Xenopus tropicalis: one gene and its partners. The protein of the gene in region 4 interacts with the protein of the main gene of each other region in a biochemical or structural test. Links are inferred from orthologs where the notes say so. Each region holds a gene or a part of one and is shown on either strand. Other genes may lie near its edges. The genes, in order: thra, carm1, pparg and grip1.

What was found.
Region 1: the proteins of grip1 (region 4) and thra form a complex in vitro, tested with the Homo sapiens proteins (2 studies listed by BioGRID). The link is inferred for Xenopus tropicalis from reciprocal best matches to the Homo sapiens genes GRIP1 and THRA.
Region 2: the proteins of grip1 (region 4) and carm1 form a complex in vitro, tested with the Homo sapiens proteins (2 studies listed by BioGRID). The link is inferred for Xenopus tropicalis from reciprocal best matches to the Homo sapiens genes GRIP1 and CARM1.
Region 3: the proteins of grip1 (region 4) and pparg form a complex in vitro, tested with the Homo sapiens proteins (2 studies listed by BioGRID). The link is inferred for Xenopus tropicalis from reciprocal best matches to the Homo sapiens genes GRIP1 and PPARG.

What each region holds. Positions count from the first base shown.
Region 1 is NC_030686.2:9,067,815-9,073,054, forward strand, and holds part of thra (thyroid hormone receptor alpha), read right to left. Parts: intron 2,500-5,240; coding exon 2,353-2,499; intron 889-2,352; coding exon 630-888; intron 456-629; coding exon 205-455; 3' UTR 1-204.
Region 2 is NC_030679.2:138,869,998-138,875,237, reverse strand, and holds the end of carm1 (histone-arginine methyltransferase CARM1), read right to left. Parts: intron 5,082-5,240; coding exon 5,000-5,081; intron 4,912-4,999; coding exon 4,826-4,911; intron 4,749-4,825; coding exon 4,659-4,748; intron 4,544-4,658; coding exon 4,406-4,543; intron 4,328-4,405; coding exon 4,238-4,327; intron 4,149-4,237; coding exon 4,036-4,148; intron 3,279-4,035; coding exon 3,126-3,278; intron 2,445-3,125; coding exon 2,376-2,444; intron 2,295-2,375; coding exon 2,158-2,294; 3' UTR 690-2,157; downstream 1-689. UniProt on the Homo sapiens protein: Methylates (mono- and asymmetric dimethylation) the guanidino nitrogens of arginyl residues in several proteins involved in DNA packaging, transcription regulation, pre-mRNA splicing, and mRNA stability.
Region 3 is NC_030680.2:153,299,034-153,304,764, reverse strand, and holds the start of pparg (peroxisome proliferator-activated receptor gamma), read right to left. Parts: upstream 3,479-5,731; 5' UTR 2,913-3,478; intron 1-2,912. UniProt on the Homo sapiens protein: Nuclear receptor that binds peroxisome proliferators such as hypolipidemic drugs and fatty acids.
Region 4 is NC_030679.2:58,084,486-58,088,416, reverse strand, and holds part of grip1 (glutamate receptor-interacting protein 1), read left to right. Parts: intron 1-2,034; coding exon 2,035-2,181; intron 2,182-3,533; coding exon 3,534-3,767; 3' UTR 3,768-3,931. UniProt on the Homo sapiens protein: May play a role as a localized scaffold for the assembly of a multiprotein signaling complex and as mediator of the trafficking of its binding partners at specific subcellular location in neurons.

The DNA of each region.
Region 1 (5,240 bases), on a different chromosome or scaffold from region 4:
TTCTGTTCTTGGGTTTATTGGCTTTACCAAGATGACAGCTGGCAAGCTTCCATATCTCCGTTATCCTGATGTACCACAATGAAAGGTTCCTTTAGCTGTAGCAGGCTTTTCCTATATTGTCTTCTTAGGATATAATGGCCAACCAAGGCAGGGAGGAACAGAAGGGATAAATGCACTTTCCTCTCTACCAACATGCACTGTCCCTCAGACTTCCTGGTCCTCAAAGACCTCAAGGAAGAGCGGTGGAAAGAGCTCAGTGGGGCACTCAACCTTCATGTGCAGAAAGCGGCTGGCATGGCATGCCCCTATCATGCGCAGGTCCGTCACCTTCATTAGGAGCTTGGGCCAGAAGTGGGGAATGTTGTGTTTGCGATGGTTGATGTAGTGTTCAAAGGCGAGAAGGTAGGTCTCTTGACATTTCTCTATCTTGTCCGTGCACATTAAACCAGTACGGTCTGGAAAGTTAAATTTAAAAAAAGTAAAGAGTTGCTAACTAAAATGCAATCAATACAGCCCTGCAACATTCATTAATACCTGTTTTATTTAGAGTGAAACAGTATAAGTTAGATGCTACTTGAAAACATGAAATATTTACCTCTAAAAATACAATGTCGCACTCCTAAAATTACCTGATGACATGAGCAAAACAGCCTGCAGCAGCGCCACTTCCGTGTCGTCAAGGTTGAATGCAGCAAGCGATCTTCCAAGGTCAAAGATGGCATCCGAGACAACACCCAGACCTCCGTTCTTAAGCTGCTCCCTTTTTACCGCCATCTCACCGCTTAGCGTTAGGGTCTCGCTGTCCGGATCGTAGCGCACAGCAGCACGGAGAGACATGATCTCCATACAGCATCCTTTCAACAGGATGATCTGATCTTCACAAGGCAGCTGGTGGGACAGGGGACATATTTTTGAATGTAGAAGAAAGGCACTGATTATAAGGAGCAGGAGGAACCATGATGCAGGGGGAAGGGACCTTTCTAATAACAAGGAGAAAAGGGGAATTTAGCACAGAAATGCATGAAGGTTCCTGAGTGCGCCAAGTAATTGTAAAGGCAGGGCCCACTGGGGAAAACCAAGTGGGCCCTGCCAGTCCAGACCTGTTCCCCAACTGCTGTCCCCCACCGGTTGGGTGAGCAGTGAGTCAGGGGGGGAATAAAATTATACATTATATGTATCTGTGGCAAAGGGGAGACCAACTGGTTGGGTAGAGGTATGAGATCTATTATTCGGAATGCATTGGACCTGGTGTTCTTCAGATTACTGGTCCTTCTTTTACAATGGCATGCCATGTCATACTAACATTTAGAAAACAGGACCAGTTATTAGTTATTAAGTACAATGTAGAAAAGGCAAATGAGTCAAAATGCATTGTTAGTGTAAAGGAAAACTATACTCACAAACAATGTTTGTCTCTATAAATATATATTGCATAAAGTAGCTCTAAATAAACCATTTTCATGAAAATATACTTTTTAGTAGTATGTGATCTCTGAGTGAGTATACAGACCAGCACAAAATGGCAGCTCAAGGGAAAGGATGTAAAAGGGCAATATTTACTGATATATAGTCTAGTTTGGTAGATTCTTTAATGGGCCACACTATCTGTTGGCTAAGTATTCATTCTGAGGGTATAGTCCTTAAAAAGGATCCTGTGGGCAAAGGGAATGCTGAAATCAGGGCCTTTCGGGTTTTTGGATAATAGATCCTATACTGTATGAAGAAAATTGAAAAAGTGAGAGGTATATTGGGTAGGTGTGTGTAGGACATGGAGGCTTTGTTACAGAAATTCAGTGTGTGTATAGTGTGTGGGAATATGTACCTATGTGAATGGCGAGGTCATTCCTTGTAAGGGTAAATGCATGGAACATTTAATGAAAGGGCAGTTGAGGAAGAACACATAATAGATGGCTATCTGGGGCGGAACATTTAATGAAAAGCTGGGTAAGGTGGAACATTCACTGGAGGGCTGAGTGGGGAGGGAGGGCCATTCAGTGAGGGGGGTAGAGTGGTTGGGGAAGAACATTTAGTGGAAGGATAAACTGGAAAGAAATGTCACTGGTGGGGTGGAAAGAGGGTGGGTGAGGAGAAACATGCAGGGGGGGGGGGGGTCGGTAAGGAAGATTCAGTACAAAGGGGGGTAGGCATTTCATGCTTGAAGAAAAAGAGAAAATGAAAAGGTCAAACATGATCAGTGAGGTATAAAAAAGGAAATGCCATCAATAAAGCCATATTCAAACTGTATATGTGGGAAGCGGGACATATACAATCCGTATTCTGAACATTTAGGTACAGGTACTTATATATTATGTGATGTATACGGTCACTTGCTCTTCTGTGTCGCACACTCACCTCAGAGAACATGGGCAGCTTCTTAGCAAAGTCCACCACTCTCGTAATTGCTGGGGTTATTATTTTGGTGAACTCACTGAAAGCCTCCAAGTCAACTTTATCCCCATCTGGCATGGAAGCCATGGGAGACTGCCCGATATCTTCCGGCTGTAACATGGAGAAGGCACAGAGAGAGAGAGAGAGGTGGTGAAGGCAACTACTCAAGAAGTAGTGGAGACTGGGTGAGACAGTACAGAGGGAGAGACAGAGAGCATGGAAGCCAATTATAAGATAGCAAAGGAGAAAGAAAGAATGAATATGAGTGAACACAGAACTTTAAACAAATCAATCTATCTATCATCTATCTATCTATCTATCTATCATCTATCTGTCTATCTATCTTCTATCTCTGTCTGTCTATCTGCCTATCTTTAGACGTATGCAGAACTTTAAACGTTCCAGTAGAGGGTGTTGGTAATCCACATATGATATAATGGGTGGCGGTGGAATAGAAAGCGTGTCTAATCCACGTGACAGGGGGAGGAGAGGGAGACACAGGGGGAGGTAACTTAGGAAGGGAGGGGAGAGTAGAGAGGCGGTTGCTCCCAGTTGCTTCTAACCCTCTCTGGCAAAGCACACATGGCTGCGTCACCCAGAGCCCCGCTTGCAATACTGTGGCCACATAAGTGGGAGGATAAAGGGTTAAAAGCCCCCAGAAAGAAAATGAGTGCCCCGGGTACAGGGTGCCAAATATCAGCAGGACAGGGTGCATACGAAATACACAAAAATGTACCAAAATACAGAACTATAATGGTAGATGCCTGGCAATGAGCGACATGTTGCACCCATAGAAAGTTACCAACATGCACTGCTTCCAACAGGAGGCTAACGGGACTAATGCACCATGTGATGGGAATGCAATGCAGACATAGCCTGAAATATAGATCCATATCCATAGAGACAGCCCTGCATCAGCATAGAATGCTTAGCACATAGATACCAGTAATGTATGAAGAGCCGGGGACCAGAATGCACTGGGGCTGGACATATACAAACGCCTTTATCTTCGCATTTACCGAGGCACACAAACTAGCAAAGATGTCAGATTGTATTTTTATATTAATTTATTTTCCAGGTTATTTCTCCAGCTATTTACAGCGCACAGCGGACAAGGGGCTCGCTAATTGGCGGAGATCAAGGACAAAAAAAGACGAGGGTGCTAGTGGCAAAATAATGTAGAGCGGCACAGAGGTAATTATATCATGGTAGCCATTTATGTAGTACTGTCAGAACCACTGAGGCATTGGGAGGGAATGCATTGCTGCTGATATATGCAGGGAATAGGGAAGGGTAATTAGGAGAATGTACTGAGAGGCGCCATTAACAGCACATAGAGCTAAGTGGGAAAGTGCAGGCTGCACTGCTACATAGAGAGGCACCTGTACCTGAACCATCATAGGCACCAGGGGGGCAGCACATGCTGGGGGACATACAGAACAGGCAGGGCTATACACAGGCACAGGTAACAGAAGGCAGGGCTATACACAGGCACAGGTAACAGAAGGCAGGGCTATACACAGGCACAGGTAACAGAAATCAGGGCTATACACAGGCACAGGTAACAGAAATCAGGGCTATACACAGGCACAGGTAACAGAAGGCAGGGCTATACACAGGCACAGGTAACAGAAGGCAGGGCTATACACAGGCACAGGTAACAGAAATCAGGGCTATACACAGGCACAGGTAACAGAAGGCAGGGCTATACACAGGCACAGGTAACAGAAGGCAGGGCTATACACAGGCACAGGTAACAGAAATCAGGGCTATACACAGGCACAGGTAACAGAAGGCAGGGCTATACACAGGCACAGGTAACAGAAGGCAGGGCTATACACAGGCACAGGTAACAGAAGGCAGGGCTATACACAGGCACAGGTAACAGAAGGCAGGGCTATACACAGGCGCAGGTTATAGAAGGCAGGGCTATACACAGGCACAGGTAACAGAAGGCAGGGCTATACACAGGCGCAGGTAACAGAAGGCAGGGCTATACACAGGCACAGGTTATAGAAGGCAGGGCTATACACAGGCACAGGTTATAGAAGGCAGGGCTATACACAGGCACAGGTTATAGAAAGCAGGGCTATACACAGGCACAGGTAACAGAAGGCAGGGCTATACACAGGCGCAGGTAACAGAAGGCAGGGCTATACACAGGCACAGGTAACAGAAGGCAGGGCTATACACAGGCGCAGGTTATAGAAGGCAGGGCTATACACAGGGAGGGAGATGGGTACCAGATTGTGCTAATATGTACCAAGGAATAGGAACCGCTAAGAACTGAGGGATGAGTAACAAAACGGACTGCTAAGTGCCAAGGAATAGGTTTTATAAATGTACTTCTAAGCACTAAAGCATGGGTACCCGACTGCTAAGTATCAAAATGGAATAATAAGCACTGAGGCTTGGCTACCAGGGCAGGCTGCTATAAACTGAGGAATAGGTACCAGTAATCTACTGCTAAGCACTGAGGGAGGGCCACCCTAATGGAATGCTAAGTGCCAAGGAATGAGCATTAGAAATGTACTACTAAACACTAAAGCTTGGGTGCTACACCGCTAAGTACCAAAACAGACTACTAAACACCAGGGCATGGGTGTACTGATTTACTGATGAGCACTGAAGCATGGGTACCCCAAAAGGCATTGGTACCAAAAATGTACTGAAGAACACATAGGCCAACAGACTTCTAAGCACCCATACCAAAACCGTATGGCTAAGTGCCGAAGCTGGGGACCCAAACTGACTGCTGAACACTGAGGCATGAGTGAACACAGAGACACTATAAAGGAATCAGACATATATTGGAGCAGAATAGAAGGAAATCACTCAGGGCAGGCATGATT
Region 2 (5,240 bases), about 81 Mb from region 4:
TTCTCCTTTAATGTCTTTCATAATTCTGTCATAGAAGAAATTGACCCCTGTAAATAAAGTGTGTTTGGCCCTACCCAATCCCATGGGATATTTTTATGCCTTAGGTCTTAACCTCTGTGTAATTGATTGGGAAAAGCCTCCAGCTGCCTAGTGTAGAGAGACTGGTATAAAAATATACCATGGGATTGGGTAGGGCCATGGGGATTGGGTATCTCAGCCCCTCCGGCTCAGTTTCCTGGGGGTGCGGCTCACAGTGGGTTCTTCCAGGAACATTTCTGAATTGCGTACCGTCGAGGCTGGCCCTGATGGAGTTAGAGAGCTGCCCTGGTCAAAAACTGACCTATGCAGCAAAAGCATGGCCACTAACTTGCTGATGTCTGCTCATTTCAGGCTAATGGTTGATGTTCTCACACAGAGCCAATCTGATTGGAGGAGCTCAGAGGTAGATAAAGCCTCTGTTACAGTAGGCGATAACATGGCTAAGATCCTTACTGCTTTACCAGGGAGGGGGGGGGTCTGAGACCCCCAAGAACAAGTATTTTCAGTCGTCTGCCAGGACCATTAACAATCACAGATGACGATCAATTAAGCTGCTTGGGATAGGTCATCTATAACATAGTAATTTCCCCTTTATGACAAGCGCAATTTTACCCGACGACAGAGAAACAAAATCAGACTTTTTTCCAAAAAAAATCCCTCCCAACTTTATTGAACACTACAGGCAAAGGGGAGAACAGCAGTTGTGTTAGAAACGGTTTCCTATTCGTCCTGAGACGTCCCAGCCCCCCCCCCACCCCCACCAACCAACCAACTCTGAAAACCCATCTTACAACTACAATCTGCCGCCCCACGCGGGACAGACGAGACACAAATAATAATAAACGGACAGAGTACAAATAACGAGGGATCCTGCGAGACGACAAATTCCCTGGAAAAAAGAGAAATAAAATACTAAAAAGTAGCAAATGAGTAGACACTAAGCAGCAGGGGGCGGGGCTTCAGGGGGACAAGGCTAGTTTACAGGCACAAGGCTATACTATGGGGGTCTAAGCAGGAGGGAGGGGGGGGGGCGACAAGCAATTTTTATAGAAGAAAGAAAAACGCTAAAAAGGACGGACACTTGGGCCATCTCGATGCATTCCGACCATGCGCTAACAACGTCGCGGCGAGGGCAGAGGTAGGAAGAAGGAAAAGGCCAAAATAACGGAACCTGTTGCACGGAAAGTCGGACACAGTCCAAGTAGAGGGACGGGGGGGGGGGGGGATAAAGCAAATTCACATTTCAATAGGGGTTTTGGCTTTAATAAACAATCATCCTAACCCTTCGTACAACACCGACCACATGACTGTCGCTCCCGTACGGGGCAGAGAGAGTCTCTGTTACCCCGGGGCGGGCAGGGGGGGTTGGACCAACGGCTTATTTCATCTACCCCAGAATAGTTAGTGTTTCGTGACACAATGAAAGTAGCGCAGGGTTGGCTTCCAGCTAATTCTAACGACTTCATTGCAGCAATTCATTCTGTCGCCTTCCAAAAAGAAGAAAATATATAAAGAAGCGTTGGTCATGAGTCGGAACCGGTGAAACAACCGGAGAGTCGGGATCACCCTATTCCTGCAATGGTGCCCACTGCTTAAAGGGCCGGCTCCCTCTCCTTGCCCTATAACCCCCCCCCCCCCCCCCCCACAACAACAACCTTCAAGCCTGTCTTTTCCCAATAGGCAACCATGATACTAATTCACAGCAATGGCTCTAAGGCGGCACAGAGGGAGGAGGCCCCACGTGCTAGGCGCGGCAGTTTGAGAAGCAACACATGATTGGTTTAAATTTCTCCGTAACGTACAAGCGTCAAGATTAAACCCCGCCCCCTCAATTTGCTATTTTTGTTCCTTTTTTTTTCCATAAAGTGAGGGGGTGGGGTACTATATTTCATTAAAAAATGTACAAGTCCATATTGAGAAAGCAAGAGGATTTGCTCAGGCAGAAGAGGAGGGGGCAGGTGTGGAGGTGAGGGGGGGGGGCAAAGGTGTCGGCAGTTTTGGCCGAGGGGGAGGAGGGGAAGGAAGGGCAGAGAGGTTGCTCTGCGATCATTTGGTATCCTGATGCTGTCAGTTTGAGGAGGACAAGGGAGCAGGGAGGAAGGTGAGACTGAGCAAGCTTTAACTCCCATAATGCATTGTGTTGGTGGTGATAGACATGGGAGAAGCCATGGAGATAGCGGGGCCTCCCATGGTGAACTGGTTGTTGACAGGGTAGTGGCTGGTGGTGTTGGAGGCGGCCTGGCCCCCCGCGGATCCTACAATAGAATAAAGAGAAGCCCATAAATACCACTCGCTGTATTATATACCCCCCCCATACAGTCAGAGGGCCGGCTCACCTTGCACTATCCCCGTGCTCATGATGGATCCCATCCTGGAGTGAGTGTGATTGACAATCCCCGTGTTTGCTGGAAGGGAACACAGGAGGGTTCAGCCACACACAATATACGGAATAGATTCATGGAAAGAAACGGAAATATGAGGTTTGAAGCTGAATTAGTACAAGCACTGGCCCCCCCCATTCCCAGCATGCCCTGCGGGGGGAGCCCTACTGGAGTCTTCCTAGAGGGCAGTCTGGCTCACGAGAGCAACTGGGATTTCCCTTTATCTGTGCTCCTATAGAGAATTAAAGGACAACCTAAGCTGCCACTGGCTTTTACTGAAAGCGCTTGATGGTAATTGGCCAATTCAGCCAAAGGACTGAGGCGACTGTGCCAGCAGGCGTTACAACCAGTGTGGCCGCAGCCTAAGCCAATAATAATACAATAAATGGCGAAGCATTCCCCAAACGGGACTTGGCGCGAGAAATCCCTTTAGGGGTGAAATAATAAAAAAAGGAATGGTATGAAGAATGGAATGGATTAAAGGGTAAGTGCCACTGAGTGAGTTAGAGCTAAAAGCCCGTGATACACAGGGCAGTGGCACAGAGCCCGTGTCCCAGACACACACGCTACCCCCTTGGCACAAAGCTTGCACTTTACATACATGACAGTTAAGGAGGTTGGTTAGTGAATCCCTGGCAAAAGGTGTGATTGGTTAGCAAACCCAGTGGGTTTGGTTTTGAAGGAAACACGAGCTTATGGTATTACTGGAGGATCCGAGTGTCAGGTCTTGGGGCTCCGGGTGCAGCGGCGCGGGAGGGCAGGACACTGCAGGCTGCTCACCTAGAGGGATGAGGTTACTGTGGCTGATGCCTGAGCTTCCAGCTATAACACTGCTGAGATCATAGGCGTTGGGCATTCCTGCAGGGAGGCAAGCACAAGCACATTGTAATGAGGAATAAGTCCATTCATGATTTCATTAAACCCCGCTTCCACCCCCACCCCCCCCGGGCCAAACTACCACGTAGATCCATGGGTCCCTAACTACATTAAAAGCGTGATAGGGCCCCCTCATCTAATGGTTTATTCCAGTCATTCCACCCAATAGCAGACCGAGGCCTATTCACATAGCACTCAGGGGGGCCTTTGTTTTAGCCCTATACAGGGACCCTTCAGCTGCCAAGTCATCCCACCTACGCCCAGCTTTACTCTTCATCTAATGTTTCACCCAGAGCTCATTTGGCTCAAGAGTGACCGAGGGGTTAACACACAGGAGAAATTCACAATACAGGTCTATATATAAGTGGAAACCCATAGCAACCAATAAGAATTTAGATTTTTACATAGCCAGATTTCCAAAGGATCCCACTCAAAGGTGCCACTCATGGATGGTGGAATGGAACGGATACGACCGATTGGCCGACACTATGGCAGGAGTGTGGCCTTGTCTTACCAGCCGAATTGGTAACAATACTGCAAATCCCCAATTAGAGAAAATTTCTGATTGGTTGCTATGGGTTTCTGTCCCATCATAAGTCATCTCTGTGAAATCCCCAATATCCCAACCACTAATGGGAAGATCTGTCGGTCACAATCCGCAGAAGAGCAGGCTGATTGGCCACCTCATTCTCATACCCCGGGGTGCACCCCAGAAGAGCAGAAGCTGCACCCCACTTACCTCCCATGCCCATTCCTGTGTTCATTGAGTATGCCCCTGACGTATTCCACATGTTCTCTGAAGGGGAGGAATAGTGGGAGCCGGGGGGAGGAGACGGCGTGGAGCCCGTGTACCTGAAAGAGACATACCCCGTGTGGGCTGTGGGGGGCGATGTAGAGTAGGTCCAGCCTGAGCTGTGCCAGGAAGGGAGAAGGGCACCTACCTGAAGAAGGGGTTCTTCAGATCCAGCAGGTTACTTGACTTGGACCCAGTCTGATCCACCTGAGCAACAATACTGATATCATAACTCTGCCTGCAAGAGACACAATGGTGAGGGGAAGGTAAAGCTGAAAGTGCAGGAGAACCAATCAGGAGAGCAGCTCGCTCCTACCTCTTGTTGGCAATGAGCAGCGCGGTGCCGGTCAAGGTGTCCCCGGCTTTGGTGAATAACGGCGACTGTAAGAGACAGCGGACCTGGTACCAGTGAGTGAGAGGCTCGGTCGGGGCTGTCGACAGCCAGACGGTCATTCTATGAGATGAAAAAGGGAGAAGATGTGACGTCGGGCAGGCAAAGCCCGGACCCTTGCACTGTGGGATTATGGGGGGGGGGGGGGGCTCCCTCAACAGGACCCCCTGACACTCACATGGATCCGATAAAGGCCACGTCAAACCAGAAAGCTAAACCGTGCACCAAGCCGGAGTGCAGCATGTGGAAGGAGAAAGGGATCTCTATCCTGCGCAGGGAAGAGAAGTTGGTCAGCACTTGTATCAGCCAATCAATGGCAAGCACCCTGCCAGCTCCGCCCCCTACCTGTGCAGATCGGCCTCTTTGGCATCAAGGAAATTCACTGTGTACTTGACTGATTTGGCCATGAGGATCCGGATATCGAAGGTGTCCTGTGAGAGGGTGGGGAGAAGGTTTATACCAGCGAGAGACAGTAGGGCAGCGCTCACACGAGAGACACACCCCGGCCCTGGGACCTACCACGACTGGCTGCTTGAAATACTCGTCCACCGCTGCCCCGCGCAGAGCTGAGAGATCCACTCCATGAAACGATGGCTGGTACCTGGGGGGAGACAGCAATGATGCACAAACCTGCTAGTGCAAGGGGAGGAGCCAGGGGAATGGGGGCGGGCTTCTGGGTCACTATGGGCGGAGCAACAGGGGAAGCAAGAGTACCAGGCAGCACTCTAAACCATTAAAGGAAAACTACAGCCCAGACAAT
Region 3 (5,731 bases), on a different chromosome or scaffold from region 4:
CATCTTGCCCTACCGTCTCCATCTTGCCCTACCGTCTCCATCTTGCCCTACCGTCTCCATCTTGCCCTACCGTCTCCATCTTGCCCTACCGTCCCCATCTTGTCCTACCGTCTCCATCTTGCCCTACCGTCTCCATCTTGCCCTACCGTCTCCATCTTGCCCTACTGTCTCCATCTTGCCCTACTGTCCCCATCTTGCCCTACTGTCTCCATCTTGCCCTACTGTCCCCATCTTGCCCTACTGTCTCCATCTTGCCCTACTGTCTCCATCTTGTCCTACTGTCCCCATCTTGCCCTACTGTCTCCATCTTGCCCTACTGTCCCCATCTTGCCCTACTGTCTCCATCTTGCCCTACTGTCTCCATCTTGCCCTACTGTCTCCATCTTGCCCTACTGTCTCCATCTTGCCCTACTGTCTCCATCTTGGCCTACTGTCTCCATCTTGCCCTACTGTCTCCATCTTGCCCTACTGTCTCCTTCTTGCCCTACTGTCTCCATCTTGCCCTACTGTCTCCATCGTGCCCTACTGTCCCCATCTTGCCCTACTGTCTCCATCTTGTCCTACTGTCTCCATCTTGCCCTACTGTCTCCATCTTGCCCTACTGTCCCCATCTTGCCCTACTGTCTCCATCTTGCCCTACTGTCCCTATCTTGCCCTACTGTCTCCATCTTGCCCTACTGTCTCCATCTTGCCCTACTGTCCCCATCTTGCCCTACTGTCTCCATCTTGCCCTACTGTCTCCATCTTGCCCTACTGTCTCCTTCTTGTCCTACTGTCTCCATCGTGCCCTACTGTCCCCATCTTGCCCTACTGTCTCCATCTTGTCCTACTGTCCCCATCTTGCCCTACTGTCTCCATCGTGCCCTACTGTCCCCATCTTGCCCTACTTTCCCCATCTTGCCCTACTGTCCCCATCTTGCCCTACTGTCTCCATCTTGTCCTACTGTCCCCATCTTGCCCTACTGTCTCCATCGTGCCCTACTGTCCCCATCTTGCCCTACTTTCCCCATCTTGCCCTACTGTCTCCATCTTGCCCTACTGTCTCCATCTTGTCCTACTGAGAGGGAGGCTCTGGGTGTCTAAGGACAAACAAACAACCCCCACTAGAGACTGCTTTGGGGCATTTCACACTATTGACCACAACAGTCACAGCTATGAACTTGCATTGATCCCAGCACCCACACACAAACTCCCTGCACCCATACACACAAACTCCCTGCACCCACACACAAACTCCCTGCACCCATACACACAAACTCCCTGCACCCACACACAAACTCCCTGCACCCACACACAAACTCCCTGCACCCATACACACAAACTCCCTGCACCCACACACAAACTCCCTGCACCCATACACACAAACTCCCTGCACCCACACACAAACTCCCTGCACCCACACACAATCTCCCAGCACCCACACACAAACTCCCTGCACCCACACACAATCTCCCTGCACCCACACACAAACTCCCTGCACCCACACACAAACTCCCAGCACCCACACACAAACTCCCTGCACCCACACACAAAACTCCCTGCACCCACACACAATCTCCCTGCACCCACACACAATCTCCCTGCACCCACACACAATCTCCCTGCACCCACACACACACACACAAACTCCCAGCACCCACAAAAACTCCCAGCACCCACACACAATCTCCCTGCACACACAATCTCCCTGCACCCACACACAAACTCCCAGCACCCACACACAAACTCCCTGCACCCACACACAAACTCCCAGCACCCACACACAAACTCCCAGCACCCACACGGGAAGTGTATTGGCACCTTCAGGGCAAGTGCTTTCCAGGAACCAGTTAATTCCACCAGTCTGTTCCTTCTGTCTGGCCCTGGGGGCAGAAACTGCACAACATTGGGTGCATTATTGGCAATTGCCCCTCAGAGGTGGGTATGAAAGCTACAGGGCACAGTGGGCACTCTGCCGCCAGTCATTTGCCAGTATCTGCCCCTGCCCTGCCCTCGCTGTGCCACATTCCCCCCAGGAATCATACAGAGCAACAGCACAATGGCAGCTCCTGCAATCGATAGACCGGGGAACTGGCCCCCTCAGTAGAACACTCTGCAGCCCATATCACCCCCCGAAACTGCACCTCTGTATCAATCAGTACCCCATATTGATACCCCATATTAATCTGTACCCCCGCTGTACGCCCCCGGGACCAACCTTATACTGTATGCTATCTGCACCCAGCAGCACCCAGCAGCACCCCAGCACCCAGATCTACCAGCAGCAATACAGCTATATCAGCCATTACCCCAATACTGTACCCAGATATCCATCAGAACCCCAACATGTCCATTAGCCTCCTAATACTGATCCCCTAATACCAACACAACTATATTAGCCAGCGCCCCAACAGCACCACATCCTTATTGACCAGTACCCCTGTATGTCACACCCCAATACTATCCTATGGTACCACAACTGTATCACCCTGATACCCCAATACTGTCACACTGACACCCCAGTACTAATTCCACCAACAGCAAAACTACATCACACACTCCCATAGTATCACAATGACACCCCAATACTATCACACTGACACCCTGATACTATCACACTGGCACCCCAATACTATCACACTGGCACCCCAATACTATCACACTGACACCCTGATACTATCACACTGGCACCCCATTAGTATCACACTGATACCCCAGTAGTATCACAATGACACCCCAATACTATCACTGACACCCCAGTAGTATCACTCTGATACCCCAATACTGAAACTTGTTATAACATTGATACAAATACAATAGAGTGTGGCTGAGACCTAGCAGCACCCCAATACAAACGCACCCCATCCCAAGCCGCTGCAGGCTACAATGGCTTAAGGTCTGAACCAGAGAGAGAGAGCGGTCTCCCGACTCACCTGACTCCCCGATCCCCCGACTCCTCCCCCGGACTGTCACAAAGTGCCCTCTGGTAGTTATGATCCCAAGGTGCTCAGTCTGCCATGTGCCAGCTCTGCCGGGAGGCGGATCCAGTCAGGGACACAATTATCCTGCGGGGCCGCAATGCCAGTGGTGCCCAAGTGCCAGCCCTGTCCTGGGAGCAGTCTCCGGGGGTTTGTGCAGTCTCCGGGGGTTTGTGCAGTCTCCGGGGGTTTGTGCAGTCTCTGGACCAGAGTAAAAAGCAGTCACTGTGTCGGTTCTGCAGGGAGTAGTTGCAGGGAGTAGTTGCAGGGAGTAGTTGCAGGGAGTAGTTGGTTCTGCAGGGAGTAGTTGGTTCTGCAGGGAGTAGTTAGTTGCAGGGAGTAGTTGGTTCTGCAGGGAGTAGTTGGTTCTGCAGGGAGTAGTTGGTGTTGCAGGGAGTAGTTGGTGTTGCAGGGAGTAGTTGGTGTTGCAGGGAGTAGTTAGTTGCAGGGAGTAGTTAGTTGCAGGGAGTAGTTGGTGCCGCTGTTACTACTCGTTTAGAGCTCAGATCGCTCTGTCTCACTTCTCTCACTGTCTCTTACTCTCACTCACTCGGTCACGCCCCTCTGCCTCCCTTGGCTCCTCCCACTGTCTCTGCTCTTCTCCTGCCCAGATCTCCTCTGGCTCCTCAGCTCCTCACTCCCAGTCTCCCACCCGTATCCCCCATAGTGCTGCCCCCCATCTACTGAGCCCCGACACCCCTCATTGGAACTGCTTTATTGTCTATTGCCCACTGAATGGGACCGTGATTCAGGCGCCCCACCTACCGGCCACTTCTAGTACTGCGCTTCACTCGCTCATTCTCAATTGGAGCGACTGGAATCTTCCTGCTGATACTTTATTGGGATCCAATAGGAACAGTGAGACTGGTACTGACTGGCACCTATACTGGTATTATACTGACTGGCACCTATACTGGTATTATACTGACTGGCACCTATACTGGTATTATACTGACTGGCACCTATACTGGTATTATACCGACTGGCACCTATACTGGTATTATACCGACTGGCACCTATACTGGTATTATACTGACTGGCACCTATACTGGTATTATACCGACTGGCACCTATACTGGTATTATACCGACTGGCACCTATACTGGTATTATACTGACTGGCACCTATACTGGTATTATACCGACTGGCACCTATACTGGTATTATACCGACTGGCACCTATACTGGTATTATACTGACTGGCACCTATACTGGTATTATACTGACTGGCACCTATACTGGTATACCGACTGGCACCTATACTGGTATTATACCGACTGGCACCTATACTGGTATTATACTGACTGGCACCTATACTGGTATTATACTGACTGGCACCTATACTGGTATTATACTGACTGGTATTTACTGACTGACACCTATACTGGTATTATACTGACTGGTATTTACTGACTGGCACCTATACTGGTATTATACTGACTGGCACCTATACTGGTATTATACCGACTGGCACCTATACTGGTATTATACTGACTGGTATTTACTGACTGGCACCTATACTGGTATTATACTGACTGGTATTTACTGACTGGCACCTATACTGGTATTATATCGACTGGCACCTATACTGGTATTATACTGACTGGCACCTATACTGGTATTTACTGACTGGCACCTATACTGGTATTATACTGACTGGTATTTACTGACTGGCACCTATACTGGTATTATATCGACTGGCACCTATACTGGTATTATACTGACTGGCACCTATACTGGTATTATACCGACTGGCACCTATACTGGTATTATACTGACTGGTATTTACTGACTGGCACCTATACTGGTATTATACTGACTGGTATTTACTGACTGGCACCTATACTGGTATTATATCGACTGGCACCTATACTGGTATTATACTGACTGGCACCTATACTGGTATTATACTGACTGGCACCTATACTGGTATACCGACTGGCACCTATACTGGTATTATACCGACTGGCACCTATACTGGTATTATACTGACTGGCACCTATACTGGTATTATACTGACTGGCACCTATACTGGTATTATACTGACTGGTATTTACTGACTGGCACCTATACTGGTATTATACTGACTGGTATTTACTGACTGGCACCTATACTGGTATTATATCGACTGGCACCTATACTGGTATTATACTGACTGGCACCTATACTGGTATTTACTGACTGGCACCTATACTGGTATTATACCGACTGGCACCTATACTGGTATTATACTGACTGGCACCTATACTGGTATTTACTGACTGGCACCTATACTGGTATTATACCGACTGGCACCTATACTGGTATTATACCGACTGGCACCTATACTGGTATTATACCGACTGGCACCTATACTGGTATTATACCAACTGGCACCTATACTGGTATTATACTGACTGGCACCTATACTGGTATTATACCGGCTGGCACCTATACTGGTATTATACCGACTGGCATCTATACTGGTATTATACCGACTGGCACCTATACTGGTATTATACCGACTGGCACCTATACTGGTATTATACTGACTGGCACCTATACTGGTATTATACCGACTGGCACCTATACTGGTATTATACTGACTGGCACCTATACTGGTATTATACTGACTGGTACCTATACTGGTATTATACTGACTGGTATTTACTGACTGGCACCTATACTGGTATTATACTGACTGGCACCTACACTGGTATTATACTGACTGGTATTTACTGACTGGCACCTATACTGGTATTATACTGACTGGCACCTATACTGGTATTATACTGA
Region 4 (3,931 bases):
GAAATAGAATTCCTCATCATTGTGCCACTTGGCCACATGCACACAGTTTGCAGCATGAACTGATATCTAACCAAGTAGGGCGATGTCCAGTTTGGCCACACGTGTGCCTTTTATGCATTTACCTGTTTTTTTAGTATTGGTCAAAAACCAGATTGCCATCGAGACCCAAGAAGGCCAATAACCTCATACAATTGAATTGCCAGGATTGGCTGAAAGGACATTTTCATAATTATTTAGAGCTCAAAACAGACGATGGCCCAATTTACATTTACAATTGTACTTACGATCAAACTTACAATTGTTGTATGATATAAGAACCTAACAAATGACCTGGGAAGCCATTCTCAAACTGAAATATTTTAACATGTGGTGGTGCCCTGGTAAAACACACTATTGGTTTCCCCTACAGATTTGATTTACTCACAAATACAAGTGATGTACATGTATGCCAATGGCTGCAAATTGCAACAAGCACACACAATTAATCTTTGCTATTTCAGCCCAAGTTTGTACCCATCAAGTCATTGGAAATTGTGGAAATAGCAGCAACGTAGCAAACAATGAAATCCAAAACTCTCTATCTTTTGCTAAAAACAAATCATCTATATATCACTTATTGTGATTAGTTGGACCAGCGAGTCACATTCAAATGTAAAAAGTGTTGGAGAGTCACACAAGCAAAAAAACATTTTCTAGGGGCAGTGATTGGCTATTTAGTAGTCACATATAAACTGCTAGGCTACTGGGGCCTGATTTTGGCAGTGTACTTGTGTCTTTATGCCTCCAAAATATGTCTCCAAGCCCAGAATTCAAAAATGAGCACCTGCACAAGCCACTTGTTTAGCATCACTGAGTTAGACCAACCTAATGGGGAAGATTTTATTAACATTCTGATTTTGGTTTTAGAGGTTTTTGAATGTCTAGTCATATCCAAATTGAAAGAGCATGATTGAATTAAAATGCAGAATGAAAAGAACACAAAAACAACAAATTTGTTGTGGTTTTTATGTTTTTCCATGAAACGTGGTGGACCAAACGGAAATGAACATTGAAACCTCTAAAACCACAAATTAAATAATTATGTTTTGTATTTGTGTTTTTTGTGTCGTGCAGTTGAGCAGTCCTGTAGCTGCAAAATCTGTAAAAGGAAACAACTTAACAATATAACAAAACAACAATTATAACAAAAGCAAAAACACTAATTTATGTAGTTAAAATTATGGCCCAAGAGAGCTAGACCCTGCTGGTAAAGAAAGTTCTAGATCCTGTGGGCAAAGATGGAGTGAGCTGAAAGACCTAGATCCTGGGGTTGGGGGTAACGATTGGGGTAACCAGAGAGCTGCACCCTGGAAGTAGGGATGTAAAATGCATGGAGAGCTAGATCCTGGAGGCAAAGGTATAGGAAAGCAGAAAGAGAGGGCAAAATCCTAGAAATAAGTAGAAATAGAATGTATGTAGCCAGCGCATTTTAGTTTCTGGCAGCAGAGATGGGTTAAATGAATAGTTCAGTGTAAAAATGAAACTGAGTAAAATAGATAGACTGCGCCAAATTAAAATTGTTTTCAATAGAGTTAGTTAGGCAAAACTGTAATCTATAAAGGCTGGAGTGAGCAGGTGTCTAACATAATGGCCAGAACACTACTTCCTCCTTTACTGCTGTTAGCAGTCAGTATCAATCAGTGACTTAAGGGGGGGGGCACATGGGACATAACTTCAGTTAGTTTGTTTAAGCCAAGAGAAGGAGAATCATGCAGATACAGAAACTAAACAGAGAGACTTGTAAAGCAGAGCCCAGAATTGTTAAAGGGACAATGTTTTTCTAGAGTCACCTATTCCCCAAGGTGCCCACTGGGTATATATATATATATATAAGAAAGGAAAAGTAACCAGATAGTTGTAAGAATAGTGCTGTTGGGTTTCATTAATTAATAATTACCCCCTCCCCTTATATTAGAGGCATCATATCATGTACATTTATTTACACAACTGTAATGCACACTCTTTAGTTACAAACCTAATCTGTATTTATTGCAGGTCTCTTTATTTAAGGATTCGGATAGGGAAGACTTTGGTTTTAGTGTTGCCGATGGCTTACTGGAGAAAGGAGTCTATGTGAAAAATATACGTCCTAATGGGCCAGGGGATATTGCGGGGCTAAAGCCATATGATCGTCTCTTGCAGGTGAGCCATATGTACGGATACGTTTCTCTCTGGTACTACTAATTAGCTGGCACAATGACTTGGATACATATTCTTCATTGGACCCAATGCTCTTTAAGGGCTCCTACACATGCAGCATGTGTCATCTAAAAAAAAATCACACACAATGAAAGCCATAAAATGCAACTCTGAACCCTCAGGAGTGCAACCAGGCAAAATATAATGGAATCACTTAGGTGCGCTCAAACCTATGTGTCAAACACATAAACACAAGGCCTGTGTGTAAGAGCCCTCAAAGGAGAAGGAAAGGCAAAGTCACTGGGGGGTGCCAAAATTTTAGGCACCCCCCAGTGAATTTAATAACTTACCTTTTACCCTGGGCTGGTGCCCCTGTGAGAAGAAACCAGCACCAGCCTGGGGTACCTGTGAGTGAGTGTCTCCTCTTCCTTCTTCTGTCTTTGCGCACTTGCACAGTAGAGTGAAAAGGTGAATATTAACAAAAAAAAGCCATCTTCTACACTCTACTGCACATGTGCCAGCCCCGAGATTCAGAAGGAAGAGGAAACACTCGCTTGCAGCTACCCCTGGGCTGGTGTGGTTTCTCCTAACAGGGGCACCAACCCGGGCCGGGGTATAAGGTAAGTGATTACAATCACTGGGGGTGCCCAACGTTTGGAACCCCCCAATGGTTTAGCCTTTCCTTCTCCTTTAAAAAGAAATGAAGGGGCGTTTACATAACTTCATACAGTTTTGAGCTAAAATTTCCATATACTACACAGACTCTCTCACATTAGTACAAGAAAATCCAATCCAAATATCAAGCATTGAAGTAGGTGGGATAGAATTCTAGGGACATAGGAATGGTGGAAGACAGTGATTTTTAAGAAGTGGTATTTTGTACATTAATGGAGTTGTTCACCTTTAATTTAAAATTTAGTATGATGTAGAGAGCAATATTCTAAGAAAATAATAATTCAACAAACACAAATTAAATAAAAATAAATAAAAAATGCTTTTCTAGGGTCCACATTAAACTAGGGACTAGGCAGTGGTTTGAATGAGAGACTGGAGTATAAATAGGAGAGGCCTGAATAGAATTAAAAGTAATAATAAAATTGTAGCCTCACAGAGCAATAGTTTTGTTTGGCTGAAGGGTCAGTGCCCCCCATTTGAAAACTGAAAAGAGTCAGAAGAGGTAAATAAAAAAAAACAAACAAACCTATAAAACATGTAGACAAGCTTAAAAGCTGCTACAAATAGGACATTCTATAACATAGTTAACTTAAAGGTGAACCACCCTTTTATATTACAGGAAGAATGATGCATGCTAGCAACTCACTGCAAACCATTCTTCTCACTTTGTATTTCTGTAGGTGAATCATGTCCGTACCAGAGACTTTGATTGCTGCCTTGTTGTCCCTCTAATAGCAGAATCTGGCAACAAACTAGAGCTGGTTATTAGCAGGAACCCAGTAGCCTCTCAGAAGGATCCTTTGGATGGACAGAATTTGTCAGTGCAAGAATGGACTGATCACAACACGTTCTCCCAGTCTACAAGTAGCCGCCTTGCATCAATGGACATGAGAGACTCAATAAATACTTTATAGCAAAACTAAAATCTAGCTATTGACCTAGTAGCATAAACCTGGTGCTAATACCCTGTTGTACATCTGAACTGTGACATTTGAGACACAGATGGCACTATGTGGCTATACTGTTAAACCTTTCCATGGGAGTAGCAAGTGTTTTTATGATGAATACTCTAAATATT